3 linked regions of the Pelodiscus sinensis genome follow. The protein of the gene in region 1 interacts with the protein of each later gene in a pairwise test. Links are inferred from orthologs where the notes say so. Each region holds a gene or a part of one and is shown in the gene's direction. Other genes may lie near its edges.

Evidence for each region.
Region 2: the proteins of KASH5 (region 1) and STX5 interact in binary tests that used the Homo sapiens proteins (3 or more experiments, as listed by UniProt). The two-hybrid records come from large-scale screens. The link is inferred for Pelodiscus sinensis from reciprocal best matches to the Homo sapiens genes KASH5 and STX5.
Region 3: the proteins of KASH5 (region 1) and NSG1 interact in binary tests that used the Homo sapiens proteins (3 or more experiments, as listed by UniProt). The two-hybrid records come from large-scale screens. The link is inferred for Pelodiscus sinensis from reciprocal best matches to the Homo sapiens genes KASH5 and NSG1.

The regions. Positions count from the first base shown.
Region 1 is NW_027465974.1:153,159-160,550, reverse strand, and holds the start of KASH5 (protein KASH5), read left to right. Parts: upstream 1-4,390; 5' UTR 4,391-4,954; intron 4,955-5,780; 5' UTR 5,781-5,803; coding exon 5,804-5,948; intron 5,949-7,392. UniProt on the Homo sapiens protein: As a component of the LINC (LInker of Nucleoskeleton and Cytoskeleton) complex, involved in the connection between the nuclear lamina and the cytoskeleton.
Region 2 is NC_134721.1:36,452,216-36,459,127, reverse strand, and holds the start of STX5 (syntaxin-5), read left to right. Parts: upstream 1-3,898; 5' UTR 3,899-4,110; intron 4,111-4,531; exon of another isoform or gene 4,532-4,887; intron 4,888-4,926; exon of another isoform or gene 4,927-5,387; intron 5,388-5,542; 5' UTR 5,543-5,561; coding exon 5,562-5,753; intron 5,754-5,851; coding exon 5,852-5,922; intron 5,923-6,203; coding exon 6,204-6,259; intron 6,260-6,589; coding exon 6,590-6,660; intron 6,661-6,858; coding exon 6,859-6,912. UniProt on the Homo sapiens protein: Mediates endoplasmic reticulum to Golgi transport.
Region 3 is NC_134715.1:110,540,263-110,547,422, forward strand, and holds the start of NSG1 (neuronal vesicle trafficking-associated protein 1), read left to right. Parts: upstream 1-4,146; 5' UTR 4,147-4,527; intron 4,528-4,856; exon of another isoform or gene 4,857-5,158; intron 5,159-5,263; 5' UTR 5,264-5,294; coding exon 5,295-5,423; intron 5,424-7,160.

The DNA.
Region 1 (7,392 bases):
TGTAGTATGGACACACTATTTCAAAATAGTTGTTTTGGGAGTTATTATTTCGAAGTAAGTTATTTTAAAATAATTTCCTAGTGTAGACATGCCCTAAGGTGCTACAGGACTACTCTTTTTTTTTTTTAAGTTACGGACTAACATGGCTACGCCTCAGACTTTTAAATCATAGCTGTTAACGATTGATGGGGTTTGTCCGTCCCTTCTCTCTTTCTCTTTCACCTTGTCCACATCTTCATAGTTTTCCACCAAGATTGGCCAGCCAAATATCCGGACTGTGACCAATTTCCAGCCTCTTTACAGCAAATCAACCTCAACTATTTGATTGAAATTAAGTAATTCACCCATTCCCAGTTTCTATTTGCCAGAAGCTGGGAATGGGTGACAGGGATTGACTGTTCTATTCATTCCCTCTGGGGCACCTGGCACTGGCCACCATCAGAAGACAGGATACTGGGCTAGATGGACCTTTGGTTTGACCCAGTTGGGCCATTCTTTGGGTCTTAGTCACACATCAGATTCGTATTATCCCTGTGTATTGTCTTCAAAGTTCATGCAATAATTGTAGTTTTATTTCTTCAGAAGGCTGGAATCCTGTTTTGTACAGCAATCTATATAAAATCCTGGGCTGCTTTAATTAATCCTCACAATATCCTATTGGCTCTAGCTCTGTTTGGGGCTATATTAATGTTTTTCTTATTGTCAGTGACAGCACTACTGTAATGTGACGTTTGTGCATGAGATCAGATTGTGCGTGTACATGTCAGAGAGGGAATGCTTGTGAGAGAGAACAAACTCAGGCACCTGGTGCTCCTATCATGTTGTAGCTCTGTAGGCAAAGCTGTATTTCTGGAGTTTTGGTTTCATTATGTGTGCACTTGTGGTTTGGTTCATTATGCTGACACTTCTGCCTGCCACTTGCTGCTCAGATCCACAGGCTACAAAAAGAGTGTGTGAGGATGGAGGGAGCAAAATGGTGCATAAAACTGATGCTTGTGGCACTTTTTGCAAGAGTAACTCTAGGCTGCTGGTGCAATTTGGAACCAGTTCCATTCATCCTATTATAAGTTCTGTCGTCATTGCTAAAGCATCAGAAGTGGGTTTGTTACTCTCCCCTTCCTGTGCTAAACCACTGCGTACTGCAATGATTATTATCCATCTCACAATTTGCTTTAGATCAGAGTAGTGACCCCACTCTATGGTTGCTGGATGCAGTTCTCAAACCAGAGGACCGAGTTGCTCATCCCTCAAAAACTATTTGGGGCTGTTCCTCTGTCACCTGTTTGAAATCCTCACACACACTTAGAATCATAGAATCATAGAACTGGAAGAGACCTCAGAAGGTCATCAAGTCCAGCCCCCTGCTCTAAGCAGGACCAATTCCAACTAAATCAACCCGGCCAGGGCTTTGTCAAGCTGAGACTTAAATACCTCTAGGGATGGAGACTCCACTACTTCCCTAGGTAACCCATTCCAGTGCTTCACCACCCTCCTAATGAAATAGTTTTTCCTAATATGCAGCCTGGACCTCTCCCACCACAACTTGAGACCATTGCTCCTTGTTCTGCCATCTGTCACTACTGAGAACAGCCTCTCTTCATCCTCTTTGGAACCTCCCTTCAGGAAGTTGAAGGCTGCTATCAAATCCCCCCTCACTCTTCGCTTCTGCAGACTAAACAGACCCAAGTCCCTCAGCCTCTCCTCATAAGTCATATGCTCCAGCCCCCTAATCATTTTGGTCGCCCTCCGCTGGACCCTCTCCAATGCGTCCACATCCTTTTTGTAGTGGGGGGCCCAGAACTGGACACAATACTCCAGATGCGGCCTCACCAAAGCCGAATAAAGGGGAATGATGACATCTCTGGGTCTGCTGGCAATGCTCCTCTTAATGCAACCTAATATGCCATTAGCCTTCTTGGCTACAAGGGCACACTGTTGGCTCATATCTAGCTTCTCATCCACTGTAACCCCCAGGTCCTTTTCTGCAGAACTACTACTTAACCGGTTGGTCCCCAGCTTGTAACTATGCTTGGGATTCTTCCGTCCCAAGTGCAGGACTCTACACTTGTCCTTGTTGAACCTCATCAGATTTCTTGTGGCCCAATCCTCCAATTTGTCTAAGTCATTCTGTACCCTATCTCTGCCCTTAAGCGTATCTACCTCTCCCCCCAGCTTAGTGTCATCCGCAAACTTGCTGAGGGTGCAATCCATCCCCTCATCTAGATCATTAATAAAGATATTGAACAAAACCGGTCCTAGAACCGAACCTTGGGGCACTCCGCTAGAAACCGACCGCCATCCTGACGTTGAGCCATTGATCACTACCCGCTGGGCCTGGCCTTCTAACCATCTTTCTATCCATCTTACCGTCCATTTATCCAATCCACAATCCCTTAACTTGCTGGCAAGAATATTGTGGGAGACCGTATCAAAAGCCTTGCTAAAGTCAAGGTATATAACATCCACTGACTTCCCCATGTCCACCGAGCCAGTGGAAGAGTCTCTACAGGTGTGAAATGTATCTGTGAAGAGACAGCAGTGGTTCACGCCTATCTTGTTTGTGCAAGTACAAAGGTCTTGGATGGTTACACATCTCCCATGCCCATGACATGCCTTGGCATCGCATGCTGTCTGTTCTTCCAGGGCTAGGCTGAGAACACAGAGCAATCCCCTCCATGTGGACGAGCTAGGTCCCACAGCCTTTCAGTCACCACTTTACAGTCGCTTTCCATTGAGGTGTGCCCCTGGGAGGTGTAGAAACAGGTGTGACCTCCTGGGGCACAAAGTTATCCATTTTCAGGGGTTATTTGCGGGGGACAGAGGGCATGATTGGACTAGATCATACTAGATCATACCACTTTTTTGGTGGGTGGGGTGGGGAGAATTAATTTTCCAGGGGAAAGCCTTGTGTCACAACAGCACCCCCAGCCTTGCTATTCTTGGCCCACATGGAAAGTTTATTCAGATATGTAGGAGAATTAATCAGGTTTTATTCTATGGGGGGACTTTCATGGCTGGGAGGGACTGCCTGCAGGGTTAAAGGTCATGATGCCACAGCAAACCCATGTTGTACACCCTATGGGCCAAAGTAGAGCACACTGATTTCAATTTTGTGGGGGGGAATTAATCCCCTTTAATTTGGGGAAACCCCTCACTCCGGGATATCCCTGGGCCACAGGTCCCAGTGGCATGGCAGCTCCTTGCCCCACACATCCATTGCCCCCGTAAGCACCCAAACCTCTCTGCCTGCCTCATTCACTTCATGTGCATTTGGGGAATTAATCTACCTAATTTGGGGGGAGACCCTAATTTAAGAAGAGGCCATTCAGGGGATGTGAAGGGTCATTTTGTTGTTGTGACCTCTGATATATCCCTAAATTGCCATTATGATTTCCAACCCGGCAGGTACCCTCAAGCCCTCAAAGGAGACCCCCCCTCCCACAATATGGCTGAAATAAGCATCTTTGGCTACGTCTAGACTGCAAGCCTCTTTCGAAAAAGAGCATCTAGATTACAACCAGTACTTTCGATAAAGCAAGCCGCTTTTTCAAAAGAGAGCACCCAGGCTGTCCGGATGCTCTCTTTCAAGAAAGCACAGTTTGCATTATATAGCACCTGTTTTCAAAAGAGCACTTTTGAAAAAAGGCGATATTCCTCGTAAAACGAGGTTTTCCGCAGTCGAAAAAACTGCTGCATTCTTTTGATTTACTTCCGAAAGAACGCAGCAACACTCTAGACGCAGGGGAAGTTTTTTTTCGAAAAAAGGCCACTTTAAAAAAAAAAAAAAACCAACAAACAAACAAAAAACCCTTGTATTCTAGACACACCCAAAAGGGCCTAGCAAATAGATCCTCCCACATGCGGAGGTTGGATATGTCATTTTGACATTCGGTGCCTCAGTTTCCCCATCTCATGATGCTGGTTGGTGGGAACATGCTAAGAGGGCCCTGGGCACTAGCCTTCAGCCTGAGCATGTTTAGGGGTCCCCCTCTCATGTTTGCAGCCCCCCTTGCCATGCAGTGTTTGTTTCATTGGGGGTGTCACTTTTTTGGGGGGGTTGCCCACGTTGGGGGGGGTGCCCTACCCATGGGGCAGCCTCTCCCCCCCCCTCCTCTACTTAATAACTGTAGAGGGTGATTAGCCTGGTTAATTTGGGGGAATCCCCGCTCCCCCCTCCCCCTCCGTCTATGAAGTCACTGGTGCCATTGACCCGCCCCTCCCCCCGCCGCGCGCGCACAGAAGGGGCTCAAGCCGCGACCGTTGCTGCCGCCCCCAACCGCCGCCCGGCCCCAAGTTTGAATTTTCCCGCCTTTTCAGGGGCCGGGCGGCATCGTTCTGAGGCTCGCGCCAGCCCCTCCCGCCCCTCCCCCCGGGCAGCCCCCAGCGAGCGGGCTGCCCCGGGCGGGGGGAGGAGGTGCCCCGCCCCCCCATGCGAGGAGGGAATTAATGTTGGGGGGCACGCCCCCCCTCAGCGCCCTGCCCCCACACTCACGCCAGTGCCCCACACACCCACTGTCCTTGCCAGCCCCCAAGTCCCCCCATTTTGCCCCCCAGCACTCACACCAGCCCCAGAGAGCCCCGCAGCCCCTTAAGCTCCCAACCCCAAATCCCCCTTCCCCCATACTCATGCCAGCCCCACAGCCCCAACCCCCCCCCTCACCTCCCAACACTCACCCAGAGAGCCCCACGGACCTATTGCCCCCAGAAGTCCCCCAACCACCCCAAATCCCCTCTGGTCCCCCCACATTCATGCCAGCCCCAAAGACCCACTGCCCCTGAAAGCCACTGAACCCCAAATCCCCCCTTGTCCCTGAGCACTCACACCAGCCCCAGAAAGCCCCAAAGACCTGCTCCCCCCCCTGTAAGCTCCAACCCCAAATCTCCCCTGCCCACCACACTCACACCAGCTCCAGAGAGCCCCACAGACCCACTGCCCCCATAAACCACAAAAAAGGTTGGTATCATTAGCCCCTGATGGGGAAACTGAGGCACACAGTGAGGCAGGGACTTGCTCAAGGTCACCAAGCAAGCCAATGGCTGAGTCAGAATAAAACCCATTGATGCTAAGCAAATATGCTCTTCTCCCTAAATACACTCATGTCGGCCAGACATCCCAGGTAATGCCCACAGGTCACCTGGCCCATTGGCTCATCATATCCCATTTCACCCCATTTTTACAGACTTGTGGGGGCTGCCCTGAGCCTGGTACAACTGTCCCCGCTTCTTTCAGCACCACTCCCACACACCCCTCTCAGATAGGCTGTCTACCCTAAATCCATCCCCTCGGGTAGAGAGGGCAGCACCAGCTGACCCCGCAAATAAGCTTTTAATGGGCATGGGGGGGGTGTCTTGACCCCCACATTGCCCTCTGCTCCATGGATGCCCAAGTTGATTAGACAAGACAGATTCCAGTCTAAGCAGGGGAGGGGTTCCCGAGACCTCTTCCAAAAGCGAACAGTTCGGGGCCGAGTGCTGATGGCACTGGGCCAAAGCCAGCTCCTAGAATGATACATGTGGGGGAATCTAAGGGTCTGGCTGTCCTGGTGTAACTACACCAATACAGCTACCCCTGTAGAGTGAGTCCCTCCCTACCCGCTCTAGCCTTTATTCTTGTCTAGTGGAATACGATCGATCAATCAATTTGCTGCAGTTTAATCAGGTGTCCCTTGATTAGTGCTTATGAGGACAGCATTGGGAAGGCTGGTCCCTATGCTACCCCCAGCAGAGAGCTTCCTTTGGGAAGGAGGACAGTGAGCATCATACTGTCTGTTTTATTGCAGGGCTAGCGAATGTGGCAGGAGACATGCTGTCCTCACAGGAGGCCGCTTCCCCCTGGATCTCTGATGAAGCCAGCTTCTGTGGAGATACAGATCAGCCAGCGAACATGCAGACCCTGTCTCACAACCCTGCAGCAGCTGTACAATTGCATATGGTCCAGTCATCAGAGGGTATGTAGCACCAGTTTGGGGTCTGTCTGTCTACTAGGGATGTAAAATCCCATTTAATTGGCTAATCGGTTACACACTATTTAACTGGTTAACCAATTTAAGGGGGGGGCAAGCAAGGTGGGAGCAGCCTCCCCCTTGCTGCAAGCAGAGGCTGCTTCAGCCTGGACAGAGAAGCCCCTGCCTGCATCCCCCCTGCCACAGGCAGAAGCTGCACTAGCTGGGTTGGAGCAGTCTCAGCCAGAGCAGCCCCTGCCTGCAAGGCACCTGGGGGCCTGCCGTGGGGCTGGAGCAGCCCCCTGCCCATAGCAGGTGGGAAGCTGCTCCAGTCCCTACTGGTTAACCCGATAAACTTTTACATGCCTATTATCTACTATATCCCCCCTCCCTTACTGTAGTAGCTAAGCACCATTTGTAATGCTACCTCTATGAGGTAAGTGCTTTGCTGAATAGCTAGCTACATTTCTAAGCCACATGGTTGCAAGTGAAAACACAATCCAAGGGTAAACTGAGCAGCGTGGTCTGCCTAAATCTGCAGTACTAGCTCTGGAGATGAGATCCACGCCATTCCTCCAAATGGCTCTGAATCCTACGGACAACAAATTCACCATCCGTACTTCAGGGGGTGGCCGAGTTAGTCTGTTACAGAAAAAAACAACAAATGGTCTGGTAGCACTTTATAGACTAACAAAACATGTAGATGGTATTCAGGGTGTTCAGAATGCCTAGCCTAGTACTCTGCCTGCTAGACCATGCTGCCTCCCAGGTTAGGCTCTGATTCTGCAGTCAGATCAGTAGAGGAGCCCCAATGGTGCAGACTGGATTTCAGGATTGGGGCCTTTCTGTGAGAGCTTAAGTGTGAAGAAGAAAAGCAAGAAGCACATTTGCTATGTAGCCCATTCACCCACAGCTTCAGGGTGTGGTGTATTGTCCCATCTAGTGGCATCTAGTTGGCTCTGCAGCCTTAGCTAGCAGTCTTAGCTACCACATAGGCTTTTAGCTTATGTGGTAGATGGCTATAATACCTAGAGGCTACGTCTAGACTGGCATGATTTTCCGCAAATGCTTTTAACGGAAAAGTTTTTTCGTTAAAAGCATTTGCGGAAAAGAGCGTCTAGATTGGCACGGACGCTTTTTCGCAAAAGCTTTTTGTGGAAAAGAGTCCGTACCAATCTAGACGCGGTTTTGCGCAAGAAAGCCCCGATGGCCATTTTCGCCATTGGGGCTTTTTTGCGCAAAACAATACCGCGTTGTCTTCACTGGCCCTCTTGCGCAAAAGCATTTGCGCAAGAGGGCTTTTGCCCAAACGGGAGCAGCATAGCATTTCCGCAAGAACACTGACAATCTTACATGAGATCGTCAGTGTTCTTGCAGAAATTCAAGCAGCCAGTGTAGACAGCTGGCAAGCTTTTCCGCAAAAGCAGTTGCTTTTGTGGAAAAACTTGCC
Region 2 (6,912 bases), on another chromosome or scaffold:
CTATTAAGAAGATATTGTATAATAATGGGTAACTTATTCATGCACTAATTTTACTGAATTTCACTGTCACTGCAATTTGGTAAAAAATGGCTACAGATCATTAAAAGGACTTTACAGACAATAATTTAAACTTTAAAATGCTTAAACCCGCCAAGATGGGACAGCAGCAAAACTGAAGGGAACTAATAAAATTGGCAAACTAAACTAAACTATTTGGGATTGGTATGTCACTTTGAAACCAAGCTCACATAGAGTGGCTGTGGGAATATGAGCAAGCATTTTAACAGAAGTTAGCAGCAGAAGGATTGCATCCACTAAATGAGGAAGTGTTTTCAACAAGTTAGTACCTAGAATATTGTATTTTCAAAATTAACAAAGCAAAGAATTTATTGACAAAAAAGCATTGAATTGTTTCATAGGCATGATGTGGTCATTTTTTGTACATGCACATGATAAAATTAATTTGCTACCAGGAAAGATCAAAAACAATAACACTAATAATATACTATAAATACATGCTATATAAAGTGAAAGCATCCTTAAATGACAGAAGAAAGAAGATTGCCCTCTTTTAGCACCACAGAAAAGTTAAAGATTTGGTACAAGGGAGGCAATTATAATAGGTGCAAGGCAAGAAAGGAACAAGATTACAATACCATAAAGTTTGTGAAAAAAGAAAGCCTTGACCAAAGTGTTACCAGTGTGAGTACTGGAAAGTACTGTGACACATATGCATGGCTACGTCTACACTGGCGGCTTCTTGCGCAAGAACAGCTGTTCTTGTGCAAAAACTTGCTGGGTGTCTACACAGTACACACGTTCTTGCGCAAGTAAATTTACAGTACAGCGTCAGAAAACAGGGCTTCTTCCGGAAGAGTTATTCTTCTCCCCACGAGGAATAAGCCCTCTTGTGCAAGAGCTCTTGCACAAGAGGGCAGTGTAGACAGGCGACATGAATTTCTTGTGCAAGAAACCCCTATGGCTAAAATGGCAGAAGACCATATGGCCATAGACTGCCATAGACGCTCTTGCGCAAAAGCACGTCTCTTGTGCCAAAGCACATGCCAGTGTAGATGCGCTCTTGTGGAAGACTTTTTGCGCAAGAACTCTTCCGCAAAACAGTTCTTGCGCAAGAAGCTGCCAGTGTAGATGTAGCCATGGTGTTGCATGGTAGTGACAAGATCTGGGTTTGCGCCTGAGGACCTTTCATGGGTGGGTGTAATGTCTTACTGTCACAGCTGCCAGCCTGTAGGTTCACTCTGAGGAAGCAGTCTCCAAACCACTCAGTATGGCTGAGACACTGGGAAGCTGGTGAAGTAAAAAGTGCCTATGTTGCTAATGGCCAGTATCGTGTGGTGACGGGAAAGGGCCATTTCTACTATGGACACAGAGGATGCTATTTGAATTGGCTTATGTTCTATTTCACACCTGAATTTCCAGTGGTGATAAATGGAAAGATTTATATATTTTATACTAGTTTTGTATAATATAATTGAAACATAGGCAAAGATAAAATTGCAGAAGCATGTTTTAAAGGCAGAGCAAGCTTATAGGCTATGTCTACACTCGCGGCTTCTTGTGCGAGTAATATGCAAATGAGGCTAAGCGTGGCATATCGCCAAGCCTCATTTGCATACCTAATGAGCCATTTTTTTCAGAAGAGGCTCTTGCGCAAGAAGGAGCGTCTACACTGCCCCTTCTTGCGCAAGAAAAACCCTCTTGCGCAATGCTGTTCTTCCTGAAAAGTAATAGGTGTAATGGCTCCTTCTTGCGGAAGAGCCTCTTCTGAAAAAAATGGTGGCTCATTAGATATGCAAATGAGGCTCGGCAATATTCCATGCTTAGCCTCATTTGCATATTACTTGCGCAAGAAGCCGCGAGTGTAGACATAGCCATAGTGTGGAATTACATCCATAGTAAAGGTGGTTATTTTAACGGTTTGGTAATTACATTATTGTGATAATTATTCTGTTAATTCTATATTGCAAAGTTTGGCAGTTGGATACCATTTTCCAAAATTGTAGAAGTATGTTTGAAATGCTTTAATGTAGTAAAACCCACATAGTATGTTGGATTTCAAAGTGGGGAATGTAGAATAAATAAAAATTAGGAAATTAAAGTTAGCTTACATTCAGCTGAAGAAAGATGTGTGTTGTAAAGAAAGGCCACAAAAGTAATTAGTTACAGGGCCAGAAGCGATGAAGTAGGGCGGATGCCTGGTTCAAAGAATAACTAATGAAATGAAAGGATATTTCTGAAGAGAAGGCCTCTGACTGGGAGGGGTGATGGCAGATAGTTTTAAATAAAACAAAGAGATTCTGTTTTAGCATGAGCCAACATAGCCCTTCCCACCGCACCAACCAATGTTGTTATAAAAATTAAGAGCCCCGTGTGAACCCAGGAGCAAACAGGTGAAACTAAGCAGATGCACCCTGGTGCATAGCTCTAGCAAGAGCTGGCTGAGCTGTAGCAAAAGCTAGCAGGGAGCTATTTAAAGAGCTGGCGGGGACCTGGGTTACAATAGGACAGTACCTGTAGACATTTTTAATTTACTTTCACGGTTGGACACAAAGGAAAAACTGTTGATAAGCAGGAAGGAGGGAAAAGAGGTTGTAAACATTGTCTGGATTAAACCAGGGAATAAAGATGACCTGTCTCCAATTGGTTTTAACTGTAGTCTGTACCTGGCTTCCAGACATCACTTGTTTGTTAAAAGGTTATCTCAAAGTTTTGTGCATTGCCAATATACTGTCTGGCCATGTTGAAGCTGACTGGTACCCCCTTGGTTTAGATCATTTGTAAGTTTCTTGATCAAATATTTATGAATGTTTTGTTTTTGTCTAGATGTGGCAAATTGCTTATTATTTAGGCCTTGTAGGTATGTTTTGAGCAATTGTATAAATATTATTTGGCTTTTGGATTTAATAAAGGAATTAATGGTTAAATCAGTGTCATGATAATATCTGTATAAATAATCCCAAGCAGAGGGATGGCTGGGCAGTCTGGTCAACATGCTGATAGTCTACACTCCTCCTTTGCAGACAGCAAGCGCAGGCCTAGGTGCAAGCAGCTGCGGATCGCGGACTCTGCCCCAGCGGTGCGTTCCTCGGACAGCCTCAAGATCCGGATCATTTGGAGACGCGTCTCCATCTTTGGCAACCGGCGTGATTCCATACGGAGCACCAAGAGCGCTACCTCAGTCACTGCGCTGCCGGAGCCCAGCGAGTCTGACCCCGAGAACAGCCCTCTGAAGGCTGGGCCCCCGCCCCACGACAGCTGCCTTGCAACTAACAGAGATGGGGAATAAACATAACTTTCACAGCTGTGTCTGGGCTGGGCCTTCTGCCCTGGACAGTACTGGGGACCAGGCCCCCATGTTGGGGGCCTATAGGGGCAGGCTTGGGGAGCAGGCCCCCATGTTGAGGGAGGCTGTAAGGGAGAAGGTCCCCACAGAAGGGGGGCTGTAGCGGCACTAGGAGAGTGGTGAAGCACTGGAATGGGTTACCTAGGGAAGTAGTGGAGTCTCCATCTCTAGAGGTGTTTAAGTCTCGGCTTGACAAAGCCCTGGCCGGGTTGATTTAGTTGGGATTGGTCCTGCCTAGAGCAGGGGGGTGGACTTGATGACCTTCTGAGGTCTCTTCCAGCTCTATGGTTTTATGATGGGGGGCAGGCCCCCATGTTGGGGGGGCTGAAGGGGCAGGGTTGCAGAGCAGGCCCCCATGTTGGGGGAGGCTGTAAGGGAGAAGGCCCCCACAGCAGGGGTAGCTGTTGCTGTAGGGTTGGGAATCACGGCAGGGGGGGCTGTAGGGGCAGGGTTGGGGGGGTAGGACCGTAGTCCCTGCGGAGTGTGTTTGAGGAGCCCAGCTCCGAATGGGCCGTTTGGGGCCTGGCCCGGGCCCGTGACCCGGCCAGGCCGCCGAGCCGAGGTCACCAGGGATCAGAAAGTTCGCGGATAATCGCGGCCCCTTTAAACTCTCGCTCCCCTGGGGAGGGGGCGGGGCACGTATGTGCGTGGCGCGTTGACGTGTTACGCGAGGTGTACGTGGCAGTGACGTAGTTCCCGGCCGGTGGGGTCTAGGTTGCAACGACCAAAGCTAGATTCGCGTCTCGGTGAGTCGCGGGGCGGAGTCGGGGTCTCGCCGGTAGGGGTGGGCCCAGCTTGGGCAGTCCCCGGACCTCTCTCCTCCCCGGGGCCCCGCGTCTCTCCCTCCCTCCCTCCCTCCCTCCGCTTTGGGCCCCCGGAGGGGCGGCGAGTCCCCCCCGCGCCCCTCCGGGCTCCTCATGTTCTCCCGCTTGGGTCGCCTGCCCCGTCTCCCCTTGCAGGGCCTGTCCCCGGCGGGTCCTTACAGCCTTTGCCCTGCGCCTCCTGCCCGCACTCCCTGCTCTGGGCCCGGGGCTTAAAGCGGGCGGGGGGCAGGTTCCCTTGGGCTCTGCCCCCCTGCCGTTATTTGCTCTTCAGTGCAAGTCAGCCCCCCCCCCCCCCCCCCGTCCGCGCGCTTCTTTCCCCGCCTCTGTTCAGTGGGCTTAGCGACTCTGAGCGCTGCGCAGAAGCGGGGTTGTGGGGCAGCTCTCACCAGAAACTCAATAGGCAGATCGTGGGCCAAGTCTGCGCCCCCAGATGTTTTTAAATAAGTCACAAAGTCTTGTTATCATTGTGGTGGTGGTGGCGGCGTGAAAAATGTTTCTCTGGAGAGTGGACCTTGACTATACCTTGATCAAGAAATTTAGACCTTCACCAAAAAAATTGGACCCTACAGGGAATGGATAGAGGGACCTAAGTGCCTTCATGGTTATTTACCCCCAGTCCTGCCTCCACTTGTGTGTATCTCTGATCCTAATTACCTGGTTCAGACACTGACTCCAACAGCCAGGATCCCTGCTTGGTGGGTAAGGAGCTTCCGGGGTATTGGAACAATTTGTACAGAGTGCATCTTGAGAGCCACTGAACCAAATTGTAAACCCTTCCTAGGATGGAAAACCACTTCAAGGCAGGGGGATGCAGCTGTACCCTTAGCAGTGCTAGTTTGTGCACCTCTGGGAGCTGCTAATGTCTGTCACCAAATAGTCTTGTTTGTCTGGACTTGGTTGAGGCTGCTCTGGTGGAGACTGGAACTCACTGAAATCTGGGACATGGTGGGATTGATTCCTCTAGGAGGCTTCTGCAGTGGGGCAGGGGGTCTCTTCCTGCTGACATGCCTGGCTCTTCCCTTGCACAGTGGGCACCACAAAGCAGACTCCTCTCTGAACTGCAGATGAATTGCAGAGGAAGCCTTTACATATATCTCTGAGCTCTGGGAGCCTTGACCCCCATTTGGATTTTGCATCAGGAGCTGCTTCTGAATGGGGCAGGCAAGAGTGCCTTGGAACTGCCTGGCCTCTTTGCTGTGGTGAGGAGAGATGAGTGGGACTGGGCAGGTGATGTGATAGTGAGTGTGCTTGAGAAGAGAGGGAGGAAGAAAGGGTTAATGGGGACTGGTGAAGGGTGGAGTTTGGTCCTTAGCTATTAACCAAGCCCCTGAACCCGTGGCCTCCCCTCCCCTAGCACCAGGTTATGAGCCTCAATGACTACGAGAAAACGCCACGGCTCTAAGAACACGCATCAGGGCGTTTATCTGGGACCTTCGCAGACACAGGAGCTGTCCCCATCTGCTACCACAACTGTTGCCTCATCCCTGCCCTTTCCGGACACCATGTCGTGCCGCGATCGCACCCAGGAGTTCCTCTCTGCCTGCAAGTCCTTGCAGAGCAGACAGGTGAGTCTTCATTTCCTGGGGGTGTCAGGCCCATTCCTTGCTAGTGTGGGGGATTCTCTGCTCCAGAACACCTCAGTTCAGTCTGTCTCTCCTTTCAGAATGGGCTGCAGCCGAACAAACCAACCCTGAATGCCATGCGCCAGAGGAGTGAATTCACTGTCATAGCCAAGTGAGTGGGGTGAGGGCTGGACTAGCCAAGATCTGGGGAGGGAGCTCAGCAGCTGGATAACCTGGGAGTATGTTGGGCTGACTCAGGATCAGTGTGCCGGGAAGGGATCTTGTGGGATGGCTATAGGCTGGTTTGCCTGGGTTGGGGCTGAGAGGGGTTTCTCCTTGGGATCAGAGCTGAGCTAAGGAGGAAGTGCTCTACTGATGATTTAGTCAGCAGGCCCCAACTGAGGAAGCACAGATCCCACCCTTACTCTGGTCTCCTGTTCTGTTTCCTCCCAGGCGCATCGGCAAAGATCTCAGCAACACTTTTGCCAAGCTGGAGAAGCTGACCATCTGTGAGTGGCCGGGGAGGGGAGGAGGGAGGGAGGGAGAGGGTGAGGGCTGTCTGGGGTATGGGCTCCTTCATGGAGGGGCTGCTGATAGCACTTGGGGTTAACATGGCTTCTTGCTTTTTTTATAGCCATTGTGAACTGGAGATTCTCACTCAGTTGGGATGGGCTTTGTGGCTGCTATGGAGCAACAAGGGAGGGTAATTGATGCTGGGCCTGAATGGGGGAGTAGTTCTGACCCTGGGGGCCATGATAAAGCAGGGCACTTGTGGTAGAGGAAAGGAATCCCTGTCAGGCCTCATAGGACACTCCCTGACCATACCCCTCTGTCCTCAGTGGCCAAACGGAAGTCCCTGTTTGATGACAAGGCAGTGGAGATAGAGGAGCTGACATATATCATTAAACAGGTTAGTGGGAGCAGGGCTAGCATCTCCTGGTGGCTGGGAGAGATGGCCTCTTTATTTGGAAGGTGGGATGGGGTGGGCAGGAACAAAAGGAGCTGGAGCCTATGAACAGCAGCCTCAGCTGGGTGGGAGCCTAAGGGCCACTGGGACCAGGTGGGGGTGTGGGCCACAACTGAGACTGGAGCAATTTCCCTCCCCCAGGACATCAACAGCCTGAACAAGCAGATTGCCCAGCTGCAGGAGTTTGTGCGGGCC
Region 3 (7,160 bases), on another chromosome or scaffold:
ATTTAAATCCCGCGGGGGATATTTAATTCCCTCGCGGACTTCCCTATTCTGAAGTTGAAAATTAGCACGCCCCTTTCGGAAAAGGGGCCAGTGTAGACGTAGGGCCAGTGTTTAAAAGCAATACAGACAAGCCCAAAATTTCACCTACCATAAACATGCTAGTTTAGGGGTGTCCTGTGGCTCCTGCTACTTCACCAAGAAACTTTTTAAAAGCAAGTGAATAGCCATTGAAAATGATGGTCTCTGACAAGCAAAACAAAGCTTGCTGAACAGCCAGCCAGCCAGCTTGCTGAACAGACAGCCAAATAGCCAGGAGTTTAATGAACTGTATTTCCTAGAACTCTGCTGATGACATTGACGTTATCATTAATGCTTATGACAAGAGTCAGTGAAGGAAAATCTATTTGGCTTGTGTTACTTGAGAAACAGAAGGGAAAATAAATCATTTGCCAAAGAGAAAAAAGGAAGTAATGATATAAAAAATTATATCCTGGCCTTCAGAGAACAAAAGAAAGAATCAAAGTGTACTTTGCATTATCACTTTAAATTGCTCTAAAGGTGATTTTTCACAATAGGATATTGTGAGCTTACAAACTCTCACTCCAGCCTTCATTTAAAAAAAATACAATAATTGAAATAAGCATGTGCATTTTTCATTTTTTTTAAATTACTTCAGTTAAAGACTTGAGCAATCCCAGGTACATCTGCTAGTAGGTCTTTATTAACCTCAGTTCCAAACTATTGGTGTCACGAAAGCACACATGTATGCCTTTATCAGACAGTGCTTTCTAGGAGGTTTTTGAAATCCCACAGCACAGTGGAAGCATTACTCCTGGGCAGAGGGGAAAAGAAGGTGGTGCCATTCCAGTAACTGCCAGCTGGGGCACTCCGTTGCAGGTAGAGGCATGCAACATGGCTTGTAATGTGCTTTTCCAGCTAGGCTCCCTCTGGGTTCCACATGGTCCCTGCTGTAGTCAGGGGCAGCTCGCGGACCTAGGCAAACTAGGCAGTTGCCTAGGGCACTGCAGGCACAGGCACCCGATGATGACGTCACGACCATTGACAGCCATGCAGGCAGGGGTGCCAATCGCTCCTTCCGCCTAGGATGCCAGCTGCCACAGCCGACTTCGGCCCGCTCCTGGCTGTAGGCTGGGGCTAACAGCCCCATGTGCGATGAACAGTAGGCCCCCAGGTGAGGCAAGCATGTGCGAAAGGGGCCCATTGGAGGTGCACTGTTATAGGAGAGGTGAGTGAGCTTCAAGCCAGGCTCCTGGTGGGGCATCAGCTTCTGTCTTGCTGCCTTAGCCCTCTCTAGCTGGATGCCAGACACCACACATGCATTTTCTGCAGTACACACTCCTATTGGCAGACCTGGGAAAAAGGCAGGTCACCCAACCAGCCCACCTTCCTCAGGTGCGGGGGGAGGGGAGCAATTGCAGTAGACCAGTGGTCCCCAACCATTTGGAGCTGCTGGGCTCCAAGGGGCGGGGCCGTTCACCCACCAGGAGCCAGAGGGCAGGGACACTCACAGGCTCAGGGGTGGGGCCGCGCATACGCTACACTCCCATGAGCCACGTGCCTGGGGTCAGCAACCCCATGCACTGCGTGGCCACGGGCAGGGCCGCCCATTCACCGCAAGACTGGGGCTGGCGCCCTCCAGAGCCACACGCCCAGGGCTGGCACCCCCCATAGCCATGCACCTGGGGGCGGGGCGGCCAATTTGCCACGTGCCTGGGGCCAGGGCAGCCAATTTGCCGCGCGCCTAGGAGCGGCACTTCCCATGCACCACACACCCGGAGCGCAGGCGGTCAATTCACTGCACGCCTGGGGCCGGTGCTCCGCATGCAGTAGACCAGTGGTATGCGTGTATGCTCAGTGCTCCTGGGGCCGACACCGCGTATGCGCAGTGCGCCTGGGGCTGACACCGCGTATGTGCCAGCCCTGAGAACTTGGCGGGTGCACACAAATGCCCCCGTGTGCCATAGCACCCACGGGCACCATGTTGGGGAACACTGCTCTAGCCCATATGCTAGCAATCTTCACCATGTGACGAGTGTAAACCAACAGAGTGGTTAATTTCTTCTGCAAAATCTTTGAACCAATAAGATACAAAAAAAGATGTGAAGTACCCCTCATCTCATTTCCAATAGATTAACTCTGATTTACTTTTTTTCTGTTTAAGAGATCAAAGCCCACAAGGAAGGAGAGGATGATCATATTTTACAAATAATAGAAATGTTTTATTTTAGGTGGATTTTGGTTCTTGTCAGTAGGTCTTGGCTGAGTACCCTCCTTCTCTCTTATGCATTGGAGAGGGTCCAGTGGAGGGCAACCAAAATGATTAGGGGGCTGGAGCATATGACTTATGAGGAGAGGCTGAGGGAGCTGGGTCTGTTTAGTCTGCAGAAGAGAAGAGTGAGGGGGGATTTGATAACAGCTTTCAACTTCCTGAAGGGAGGTTCCAAGGAGGATGGAGAGAGGCTGTTCACAGTAGTGATGGATGGCAGAACAAGGAGCAATGGTCCCCATTCGCGGTGGGAGAGGTCCAGGTTGGATATTAGGAAAAACTATTTCACTAGGAGGGTAGTGAAGCACTGGAATGGGTTACCTAGGAAAGTAGTGGAGTCTCCATCACTAGAGGTGTTTAAGTCTCGGCTTGACAAAGCCCTGGCCGGGTTGATTTAGTTGGGATTGGTCCTGCCTAGAGCAGGGGGCTGGACTTGATGACCGTCTGAGGTCTCTTCCAGTTCTATGATTCTATGATTTCATAACATGTAGCTCAGTGTTCCTCAAGATGCCTACATTTGCTTCCCAGAAAGCGATGCACCTAGGGGATTACAAGCAGTGCACACTGGTTGCCTGGGGTTACAAGACATTAATGGAGTGCACCTGAACCATTTCCCCCACCAAAATGGCTTTTTGCTTGGGTTTAAAGCTGCATGATCTGAGTCTGCCTTGAAGTGCCCTGGACTTCAATACAAGAGTTAGTAAAATGCAGCAAGGTCAAAACAGAAAACTAACTTGAACAGCAGGTCTGCTTGACAATTTGGAGACAGAGAAAATGCTTTAGGGCAAGATTAACCGTCCAAATGATGAAGCATAAAAATCTTCAGTCTCCTACCCATACTTATGAGGCAGCTTGAATATTAGGTGGACCATTGCCTTGGGCTGTCTCCCTTCCCTAAGGTCTCCTCTGGCTTTTTGACTTGCCTCTGACACTGAAGAGGCTGTGCAGGTGCTGAAATACTTTATGCGCAGCCTGTCAGCAGCAAAGCAAGCAAACGCCAGAAAAGCTGAATAACGGATCGTGGCCTCAATTACCAGGGCTCAGGAAAACAATGCAATTAAAATGATAAATTGGCTGCACCAACAGGCAGGGCGCATTCGGCGGGTTATTTAGTGAAGATTTCCCTCAATTAGGGATTGCAGCGTTTTTTATCCCTCTTTCACCAGCACCCACCAAGCTGCGGGGGGGGGGGGTGCATGGAGCCCGGGGCTCACAGGTACGAGGCCGGGTCAGACAGGCGTATACAGCTGAGTCAGGGGCAACGCGACCCTCCCTATCTCCCCGGCCATAAGGCGGCTCCCAGTCCCCAGCATGCCCCCGGCCCCTAGGAGGAGCAGGCTAGTTACGGGGAGCGTCGCGCGCCGCTGCCCCGGGGACAGGAGCAGCTCGCGCCCCAGGAACAAAGCCTCCGGCCCCACCCAGGCCCTTTGCACCGCATCTCCTGCCACCGGTAGGGAAGGACCTGAAGCGCCGCCCGTAGCCCGGCGAAAGCGACGCGCCTCGGAGCCGCGCAGTGCCCTCGGCCCGCCTGTACCGCGCTGCGCCCCGCCCCACCCCGGGCCCCCAGCCCGCTTGTAGCGCGCAACGCCCATCCCCTTCCCAGCTCTCTTGTGTCATGCAGCGCCCCCCGCGCTAGTCACTTGTACCTTGCACTTCCCCCCGCGCGCTCCCCGGCCCGCTTGTACCGCTGCCTCACGGGCTTAGCGAGGTCATTGTCCTCTCACAGCCCAGCCCGATTGTAGCGCCCAGCGCTCCCCTCCTGGCTGCTAGAAGCGGGGGGACAACAAGGCGCCGCGCTCCCCTAGCGGGAGCTACCCACGGGCCTTACAAGTAGCACTGCGCCCCCCTCCCCCTTGTAGCGCTCTGCAGGGGGAGCCTCGCCCCCCCCCACCTGCTGCAGCCGGCGCAGGGAGAGCCAAGCGTGCGCCTCCCCCGCCCCCCGGGGCCCCTTTGTGCTGCTGCTGCTCGGATCTGCCCTAAGACACGCGGCGGATGCGTCACGGCGGAGGCGCTGCTGCTGCTGCGAGCTACGCGCACGAGCCCATTAACCCCAAGGCAGCCCAGCGCCGATCGATCGCGTCGCTCCCCTGCACCCAACCTCCCGCCCGAGCCGCTCCGAAGAGGCGTCCGAGCCGCGCCGCCATTTCCCAGCGCTGAAACAGAGGGCTCGGAGCCTCCCCCACCTTGCACCCACCCACCCACCAGCCCCGCACAGAGGGAACGGCAGAGGAGCAGCTGAGGTAGGTGCGAGCCGCGGCTTTTCCGTCGCCAGCGATTATTGCTGGGGTGGGAGCTTCATGCCCCTAGCAGCTCAGGGTGGGGAAGGACGTGGAGGGCTTCTCATTGCGCCCCGCTCTCACCCACGTCCTCTGGAGCCGGGCGCGCTCAGAGCAAGAGGAGCAGGGACGGTGCGCAGAGGGGGGCGGTGTCGCTGGACACAAGGATGCAGCAATGGAGACTGTGGAAATGGATTGATGGACGTGGGGCGGTGGCGGCGGCGGCGGGGGGCAGGGGGAGAGGAAGAAGAGAAGCTCTATGGATGTAGATAGGTGGAGAGGTGCAGTGATCCCCTTTGTGGATGGAGAGGACTGTGGGGATGGATGGATACCATTATATGGAAAGATGTTGCGTTTCCGCTGGATGTTATTCAGGGCTTCTAGAAAGCGCTCTGGAGAGGATGCAGTTCACCCTTCGGCTATGAAGGAATACACCGTTGTAGTTAGTCACGCTTAGAAAACAACACCTCCATCCCCAAAACTGTCATGCAGTTACAGCTGATGCCTTCTTAATGACCATTCGAAAGTGAGAGGGATGTTAAAAAGTGGAATTAGGTCACTTGAGATCAACGGAAGAAATGATGCCTGAAAAAATGTATTTTAGGATTTGTGTGTTTTTTGGGGGGATATATTTTTGCCATAATATGTGTTTGAGTAGCACTACGTTATGGTTTTCTTTTTTTTGTATGTGTGCTTGTAGGAAATCCTTTTTTCTTTTTAATCCAGGAAGGATGGTGAAACTAGGGAATAATTTCAGTGAGAAGAGCACAAAGCAGCCCCTCTTGGAGGATGGATTTGACACTATCCCCTTGATCACACCCCTGGACGTCAATCAGCTACAGTTCCCACCTCCTGATAAGGTACAGTAGGCTCCAGTTTGCACTACAGAGAATCACACCCAAATTGCTCACAAAGAACAGGAGAATAATTTCTATAGTAGGGCATTTTAAGGAGTGGCTATTTCTTCACAGAAAAAAAAATTAAACTAATGATAATCACGAACATGTCAATTAAAGTCTTTTTTTTTTTTCATTTAAATGCCATCATGAAAACACTTATTGTAAAAAAAAAAAAATCAGGTATAAGTAAATTTCGCTTTATTTGGTACTGTGGGACACAATGAGGTATTTGCAAGCTTGTTTGTGATCACTTGTCACTCTTTATATTGTAGCCCCATCTTTAGAATCTTTAAGGCAGCTGTGAAAATTCATTGTGAAATACAAGTCTGTTGGCTGTAAGACATCCTACAGTGTGGAAGCATTGCTTTAGGACTCCAAAGGGCGGGTTCAGGCAAAATAGCCACACAGGGGATCTTATGTACCCCTCAGGTGGATCTCAGAAGGGGCTCCATGCAGGCGCCAGATAAACCAACAGGGGAAGTCGTGGATGGGATAGTTACTAGATTAATAATTAATCTATCCTGCCCTCCACAATTCTTGAATACGGAGAGAACTTGTGTGAATGTTTGGGGTTGGGGCTAGTATCTGCTGGTCCAGTCCACAGACTGGAATGTGGATCAAAGAAAGTTTGTATTGCTGCCCCATATCTTCTTGTCCACTTGGAGGAGAGGCTTGTATTCTGCCTCCCTGACAGCTGTTTACTAGTCGCTTATGCAAAGCCTGATTTGTGCAGCCTGAGGATGAAGGACAAATACATCTCAAAACACTTTTCTGACCCTGCACAAATAATCTGATAACACTTATCACTTATGTGACATAATGAGACTGGTTCACGAAGATTTTTTTCAAATATTCTTCCATTTGTATAACTTAAAAACTTAATGGTTTCCATTGTTGATACTTTCTGGAGCCACAAATTCAGACTGGCAAATGATGATTAAATATATTTGGTAACAAATTTCACGGTGAGTTTATGCTTTGTAATCTTTGAAGGCTTGATTCTTTTCTTAGATATATGGTAGATATAGGTTGCATGTCTTGAATATTTCATATGTTCTTACACTAGGAAAAAAAGAATAGCTGTAAAACTGTCTAAAAATGTTTATGTATGGTCTATTTATACCATTGACACTTCTGTCTAGGATGTGATCACCAGTTGGCTGACACTTTACATAGGATTAGCCCATAGCCTTAGAATCCATATCTGCTCTGAGTTACATGTGTGTAATTCCTGTACTGATGGCAGAATTGGACACTTAGGCTTTAAAACTGTTGCTGTGGCTGATTGTGTTTGCTGTCTGGTGACCAGGCAACCAATTAGCAGGGTCGTACATTCAGAGGCTGAACTTATTGAGTATGTGTGTTATATTACTTAGCTGCTAAGCAGAGCCTTGAAGCAAGAATCCCTGTGGTCCACAGGCAGCAGCTTCACCAAAATGGAGTCTCCGTGGCTAAGCCAGTAAAAACTGTGCTGAGTTTTTCTACTGGAAGTTGTTCTTTTATTGGTATGTGGTCAAGTGGTACTGGGCAGAACTCCCACTGCAGACAACAGGAGTTATGTGAGCAGAACCAAGGGCAAATTACATGGACCCAAAGTCGAACAGAAGACTCAGACATTTGCTTAGCATTTCTTTTTTTCCCCACTGCTCAACTATGTGTGTTTCCCTTCATTTGTGCAATTATTTACACATGAATATA